Neurospora crassa OR74A: one gene and its partner. The protein of the gene in region 2 interacts with the protein of the main gene of each other region in a pairwise test. Links are inferred from orthologs where the notes say so. Each region holds a gene or a part of one and is shown on either strand. Other genes may lie near its edges.

Region 1 (3,752 bases), about 120 kb from region 2:
AGCCTCAATAAAAACCTCTTAACGCTAGTAGATCCGCATTTTATATAAACGTCTCCTCCTTTATAGAATATTAATCAAGCTATACGACCAGTACCCGTATCAACTGTGCTGCCCCCGTTACACCTTATAGCAATAACCTGAATTGGAAAATTCAAGATTACTAGACAAAACGGCCAGTATTATATAACAGCTGTTATCTAGTAGAAACAAAGTACCTCTAAGGAATAGGGTAGGTGCGAGGAGGGATTCTCGTGATATATTACGGGTCTACTAAATATAATACAGCACCTAGGGTATACTAAAGCTTAATGTTATTAACAAAGCGGAAAAGGTTTGTAGGCTGGGAAAGGCCTACAGCCCGGAAGCTAAGTACTAGAAGAGAACAGGTGGCCTAAGGCATCGGCCAACTAGGGAGCGTGCCTCGGCTCTGCGGCTAGGCATCATATCCCCAGGCGCCAGACCCATTACACTCACATCCCAATGACTTAACTCTCAATACTCTGTTGTTCTTATCATTGTTCAACCCATATGATATGGGAGCACTAGAAGCCCGGTGCAATACACACGATCTTTGATTTTTTGCCACTACAACAACCTAAAGAAGCATCTTCCTGGGGTCCTCAATGTACTCCTTCACCTTAACCAGAAACTGGACAGCCTCCCTGCCATCAAGCAGCCTGTGGTCGTAGGTGAGAGCCAAGTACATCATGGGGCGAATTTCAACCTTTCCATTAACAGCAACAGGTCGCTCCTTGATAGCATGGAGACCCAAAACTGCGCTCTGAGGAAGATTGATGATCGGGGTACCCATTAAGGAGCCAAAAACGCCTCCGTTGCTAATGGTGAAAGTGCCACCGGCCATGTCCTCAATGGTGAGCTTACCATCACGAGCCTGCGATAACAGTTAGTAAGGTAATATAAGCACTCCATAGGCGCGGGAAGCCGTACCTTTTTGCCCATATCAGCGATGGACTTCTCAATGCCAACGAGGTCCATGGCTTCAACATTGCGGACTACGGGAGTGACAAGACCCTTCTCGGTGGCCACAGCGACACTGATGTCAACATAGTCCCGATAGACAATGGTGTCACCGCCATTGGGACCCTCAATCGAGGCATTTACGGCCGGGATATCGCGCATGGCCAAGACACATGCGCGGGAAAAGGCACTCATGAAGCCGAGCTTGACACCGGTCTTCTTAAGGATCTCGTCCTTGTACTGCTTGCGGAAATCCATCAGGCCCGACATGTCAACTTCGTTGAATGTGGTAAGCGAGGCAGCCGTGTTCTGGGACTGCTTGAGACGCTCGGCGATGCGGAGGCGCATGCGGTTCATCTTGACCTGGAGGGTGTTAGTTTGACCGATTCACCACTCCGTTTGCTCAGGAGCCGTTTACTTACTCTGCGCTCCTCGCGATTGCCCAATGCAGCCGGGGCCTCCTTCGCAGGAGTACTCTCCTGTTTGGGGGCAGGAGTTTCCTTCTTGGCGGGCGTAGGAGCAGGAGCAGCGGCGGGCTTGGTCTCCTTCTTAGGCTCCGGAGCCTTCTCAGGAGCAGGAGCGCTGTCCTTGGGAGCAGCCTCCTTGCTCTCGGACGCGGCCGGCTTTTCGGCACCGCCCTCTTTGGGCGCACCACCAAGCTCTAACCGGACGATGTCCTGGCCGACTGTGACAGTGTCCTCCTCATTGACGAGGAACTCCTTAATGGTACCGGCCTCGGGAGCGTTGACGGCAACATCGATCTAGAACCCAGTGGCAGAAGCAGTTAGAAAGCAAATATATGTGCCGCTGGCGAGCTATGACCGTAGAAAGAGGCAGGACAGGGGGGCAGACAGCATGTGCTCCAAGCGGTCTAGGCTCCGACACCGGCACGGGACTAAGGAAGCGTCGTACACACCTTGTCGGTCTCGATGGTCGCGATCTCTTCGTCCTGCTCGACATAGTCGCCAACCTTCTTGTTCCACTGCTTCAAGGTACCCTCACTGATGGACTCGGCCATTTGGGGGACTTTGATGACCTGATCGGCGTAGGTGCGGACATGCTGGAACTGCAGGGGAAGCTGCCGGAGTGCGGGCGTCGCATTGCAGAGCGCGAGTTTGGGAGCGGCGCGAGCCGCAAGACGAAGACCTTTGTACAGCATAGTAGCGGGATGTCGGGCAAAGGAGCAGGAGTTGGTAGGGACGCAAGATAAAGATGTGCCTTTTGAGAGGTTTTGTAGGACCAAGGTTGGGGGGAACAGCGTCGGATGAAGAACGCGAAATTGGCGGTTGTGATGAGATTTGTCGTGAGGCTACAGGTCCCGTTCTGACTCGGCGACAATGACGCAGCACCCAGCACAGAAATCTGCCGGGACAACCGGAAAACTAACGGTCAGATCGTCTGCGACCCAGAGGAAGGGTACATTAACTCAATTGCATTTTAGATATCGTATAAGCTGTCAAATTCACTCCCGCATAATAAGCGACTCCCGCGCATTTCCAACAAGTTCTTGCACCAGCATATGTTTTGCACACAGTAGCTCTACGCGACCTTTTTTTTTTTTTTTTTTTTTTTTTTTTTTTTTTTTTTTGCGCTTTCTCCGCACCGCACGGCAGCGCAGCACACCAGCCTCACCGTACCTGTTACCTCTAGGTAGTGTAGTGTCCATGTCACACCTGTAAACTGAGTAAGAAGAAACTACACTAAGTAGAGTCCCCTACCAGCCTACCTAGAGTAGGTAAGCCTATCTGGCCGTCCTTCACGGCGTCACGGGGTCAGCCTCGCAGTTTGCTGGGACGGGGAACATCTTCTGGAAACCAAAGGAGCTATCGCAAGAATCATTCCGGGGTGCGACCCGGTAGCCTGCACGGTCCAGGGATCAGCCTGCACCGAACACCTCCATAGCACTTAAATTATCATTCCAAACAAGCCTCCCTAGGTTTTACCCTATGGACGGATCGATGTTCCCCTCAGGCAACCGGTTTATTGTCAAGCATCACGCTTGAGTGTGAAAGGTACCCGAAAGACAGCAAACCTAACAATCTACGTATAGACGTACAATTCCTATCATCCCATACTGGGCACCATTTTCTTAGCGTTCAAGTGCTCATCCATTTTCTATCCTATTGTCCGTACTCAGAGTACCCTGGACCCCCTCCCCAGCATGTGCGCTAGCTCGAGGCTAGCATGTCGTAGACGCTTGGACCTCTGGTTCGCTCATCCGTCCGGGTCACCGTTTACACCGTCGGAGTAACGGATCTTAAATATGGGTGTCGGATCACCCAGGTCTCGAGGCTTTTAGACCGCATTGGTATTCATCACGTCCCTCGTAGGCAATTAGCGATTTGCCTAAGCAATCTCAATCGATCAGGTTTAAGTTACTCTTGCCTACTATATGAATGTAATAGCAAATGAATAGGGACGTCATCGTAATCTATAAAGATAGGTAGTAGCTGCATGTGCCTCCAATGGCAGTGTCCAAAGCACAGATTTGACTAGTTTTGGGTAGCCAAGCAAGACGCAAGGCTTGTAAGACTCGGCAAAGCAAAGATCACTTCCCTTCTTGGTATGTACCTAGTGGAGTGAACTGCGTACACAAGTAGACGAAATGTGAACCCAGTAATGTATATCGCCAGGTGCTGAAGTGATGATTTGTGCCTTAGGCAGCCACCCTCCAGTACGGAAGCGCGTCCTGCAAGCCCATCCAAATCGCCTGTGTAGAGCCCCCGGTGTCAACGTACCTCTTCCCAATTGCGCAATTGCGGATTCCCCCATCA
Region 2 (3,752 bases):
GCGATGGCTTATCAAACAAATAACGTCATGCCAAGCAACATGCCCTGTACACGAGAATACACATTAACACCAGAACGAAGTTGAAGACCGGCATTGATGGGCACTGCTACTCGGACTAAGAAGTAATTGCACCAGCATGGAGAACAGACAAGAATCATCCAAAACCCACAGCCCTCTGATAACTCGGCAATGTTAACATAAAATAACCAGCAGCCTTCCTGCCATCCCATCTGGCAACCAAGGTAGCTTTTCTGTATCTCTTAAAATCTCGTGTATTCATCGAGTCTCGAGCCCAACCAGGACCCGCAAGGCCAAATAGCCCTAGTCCAACCAACAAGCGGCGTCTATTTAGCATGTCATGTGAAAATCCCCTATTAAACCCTCGAGGGAAAGCCCGTGACTACAGTACAAGTACACACCTCCTCCCATCCTCTTTCCATACTCCCAATGCTAGAAATCCAGACAGCACATTTTTCCGTGCTTAGAGCCATTCAACGCCAAAACGCTCCAGCTGCTTAGAAGTGGATGGCCTTTGAGTGAGTGGCCATGGCCGCCTCCTTGAAAGCCTCGGCGAGGGTAGGGTGAGCGTGGCAGGTGCGGGCAATATCCTCGCTGGAAGCGCCATACTCGAGGGCAAGGGTACCCTCAGCAATCATCTCACCGGCGTTAGGACCGATGATGTGGACACCGAGAATCCGGTCGGTCTCGGGGTCGGCGATCATCTTCACCATGCCCTCAGTGTCAAGGTTGGTCTTGGCACGGGAGTTGGCGCTGAAGGGGAAGGTACCGACGCGGTAGGGAACACCAGCCTTCTTGAGTTCCTGCTCGGACTGGCCAACCCAGGCAACCTCGGGGAAGGTGTACATGACCGAAGGAATGCAGCCGTAGTTGACATGGCCGTAACCCTTCTTGATGTACTCGACGACAGCAACAGCCTCCTCCTCAGCCTTGTGAGCAAGCATGGGGCCGAAGGTGACATCACCAACGCAGCGAATGTGGGGGATCTTGGTGCGGTACTCGGAGTCGATGATGACACGGCCGCGCTCATCCTTCTCGAGTCCAATGTTCTCAAGGCCGAGACCCTCGGTGTAGGGACGGCGGCCAATAGCGACAAGAACAACGTCACCCTCGAGCTGTGTTCGAACAATGTCAGCTTTGAAGATCACGACAACGAACAGATAGCCTGCAGGGTATCATGGGCCACTCACAGTCTCGGGCTTGCCACCCTTGGCGGAGTCGACCTCGAGCTTGACGGTCTCGCCAGTCTTGTCACCGGAAACGACCTTGGTGCCGGTCTTGAAGTTGATGCCCTGCTTCTTCAGGATCTTCTGGATGGACTTGGCAACCTCAAGGTCCATGCCGGGGCCGCCAATCTGGTCGAGAAACTCGATGACGGTGACCTGGGCGCCGAGACGGGACCAGACAGAAGCCATTTCGAGACCAATGATGCCACCACCGATGACGAGCATCTTCTCCGGGACCTTCTCAAGAGCAATGGCGCCAGTGCTGCTGATGACGCGCTTCTCGTCGATTTCGAGGCCGGGGAAGGGGGTGACCTCGGAGCCAGTGGCGATAAGGATGTTCTTGCCCTTGACGGAGGTCTCGCCGCCGTCGTTGAGCTTGACGTTGATGGTGTGCTCATCGGCGAAGGCGCCAGCACCCTTGATGTACTCGACGCCGTTCTTCTTCAGGAGGAACTCGACACCTTTGGTAAGACCGCTGACGGACTGTTCCTTGGCCTTCATAAGCTGGGCGAGGTTGAGCTTGACATCGCCGACCTCGATGCCGCGGTGTTTCGAGTCGTGGAGGATCTGATGGTAGAGATGGGAGTTGTTGAGGAGCGACTTGGAGGGAATGCAGCCGACGTTCAGGCAGGTACCGCCGAGGGTGCCGCGCTTCTCGATACAGGCGACCTATTTCCAGGCAACATGGGAGATAGCAGTCAGATATTGTCGTCATTCGTCGGTGTTGCGGTGTAGTTGATTCGCGATGCGACGCACCTTGAGACCCTCCTGGCCGGCCTTGATGGCAGCAACATAGCCAGCGACGCCACCTCCAATGATGACGAGATCCTTCTCCTCTACGGGCACATCAACAGTCAGCCGACCAGAATCCTTTGACGAGAACCAGCTCTTGATGTTGGCAAACAGACCAGACTCGGTCGCATAGGTCCTCCTCAACCTGGGAGAAACGACGACAGGGAGCCTGTATGTGGTCGTCAGGTCAGCCTCAGTACGCGCATGAGAAAACAGTGTGTCGGGCATCCGCCGGCAACCGGGACAGTGAGCTTACCCCGAGGGCTTGAAGGCGGACCGGACGGCAGCACGGCCTATTAATCTTTGGGACAGCATGGTGAAAGTATGTGCTGAATGGAAAAACCAGAAATGGAAACAGGGAAAATTCGAAGGAACGAGCGCACTGCAGAGAGATGCCCGGGGAAGCAGGGAATGCGATTCGATGGTGAGACGTCGAAAGTGTGTACTGAACTGCAAAACGCCGCGGGAGAGACAATTGTTGGGATTCGAGGCGGAAGCTATTCACGGCAAGCGAAAAATGTCCAGTCCCACTTGTTCGGGTTGCCAGCCCGTCAGAGGCTCACATCGCTCAAAGGGCACCCGCTTTCCACCGTGCCCGTCCCCAAGCTGGCCCGCTCGAGACAGCGCAGAGCGGAGTAGGTAGAGGTAGGTACGAACGGAGCGGAGTAGGAACACCACTACCTAGGTAGGTAGTAGGTACCTCTAATCTCGCGTACGCTACACTAAATAGGTAGGTAGGTACTGCCTGATCGTGTTAGTAGTGTAGAGGTAGTGTGCTACAGGAAGTAAAAGTACTATGATGCCAGTGTTAGGCGGGACGGGCAGCGCGCTCTTCGCCGTCTTACTTTACTGTCGCTGCTGCCCTGACTGCTTCGTCGAAGAAACCCGTCCCCAAATACGTACGGTACTAGGTACGCTCCATTGCGTCCTGTGATTGGTCAAGACGAACTTGGCGTGCAGCAGCTGACTCCAAAATTTTGACATCTCTGCACTCCCGCTATGTATTGTAGCCATTTTTCTGACAGCTTAGGTTGTGTTTGACATTCATCTTGCTCCTTGGCGCGATCCCCTCTTTGCTCCCCTCTTTACTCCGCCCGTCAACGCCAAATAACCCCAGCTTGCCCAGCTGCCGAATTGGAGAAGCATAACCTGTCCCTAACCCGTCTTAGAGGTTAGTTGTTTGTCGAACGACATGACACATGGCAGGCAATTCATCTCAAACCATCTGCCTCCTCTTCATGTCCACAATCAAGAGTCCCGCCCGACCCTCATGAAACCCTGTCCCTTCGTTGCAAGACGAAATGACATCATTGAGTGCTATTCACAGACCACTATATTTCCGGGCTCCCGCACACTCGAGTCGGTTGCTCCCTGGATCCCTAGTAGCAAATCGCCCTTCCTGACAACAAGTTCCCCAACTTAAAGCTACCCCCAACTTTTCCAGTCCCGCCGTCAACGCTAATATCTACAAAGTAGGTAACTACATTCGAGCGAGAATGCTTGGGTTAGTTCCATGAACTTGTCATGATATTGGTCAATGGCCTTTTGTATAGACCCCGGCACACTTGTATCCCTGATCATTATGTTGCTATTCCCGAAGATATCCGATCCATATACAGGTATCCAACAAAGCAAAATTATTCCACCAAGCCTTCGGCGGCGAGCAGCGCATGCTCCAAGGCCGCCATGGCCGTCTTGCAACCCTCCTTGACGAGC

The links. The genes of interacting proteins can lie anywhere in the genome.
Region 1: the proteins of NCU02407 (region 2) and NCU02438 interact in binary tests that used the Saccharomyces cerevisiae proteins (3 or more experiments, as listed by UniProt). The link is inferred for Neurospora crassa OR74A from reciprocal best matches to the Saccharomyces cerevisiae genes LPD1 and KGD2.

Annotation. Positions count from the first base shown.
Region 1 is NC_026507.1:2,482,669-2,486,420, forward strand, and holds NCU02438 (dihydrolipoamide succinyltransferase), read right to left. Parts: upstream 2,534-3,752; 5' UTR 2,138-2,533; coding exon 1,895-2,137; intron 1,740-1,894; coding exon 1,401-1,739; intron 1,342-1,400; coding exon 949-1,341; intron 893-948; coding exon 596-892; 3' UTR 236-595; downstream 1-235. UniProt on the Saccharomyces cerevisiae protein: The 2-oxoglutarate dehydrogenase complex catalyzes the overall conversion of 2-oxoglutarate to succinyl-CoA and CO(2).
Region 2 is NC_026507.1:2,606,962-2,610,713, forward strand, and holds NCU02407 (dihydrolipoyl dehydrogenase), read right to left. Parts: upstream 2,820-3,752; 5' UTR 2,352-2,819; coding exon 2,293-2,351; intron 2,206-2,292; coding exon 2,153-2,205; intron 2,081-2,152; coding exon 2,001-2,080; intron 1,914-2,000; coding exon 1,209-1,913; intron 1,134-1,208; coding exon 516-1,133; 3' UTR 76-515; downstream 1-75. Other genes in the region: NCU02406 (nuclear protein), read right to left, coding at 3,674-3,752.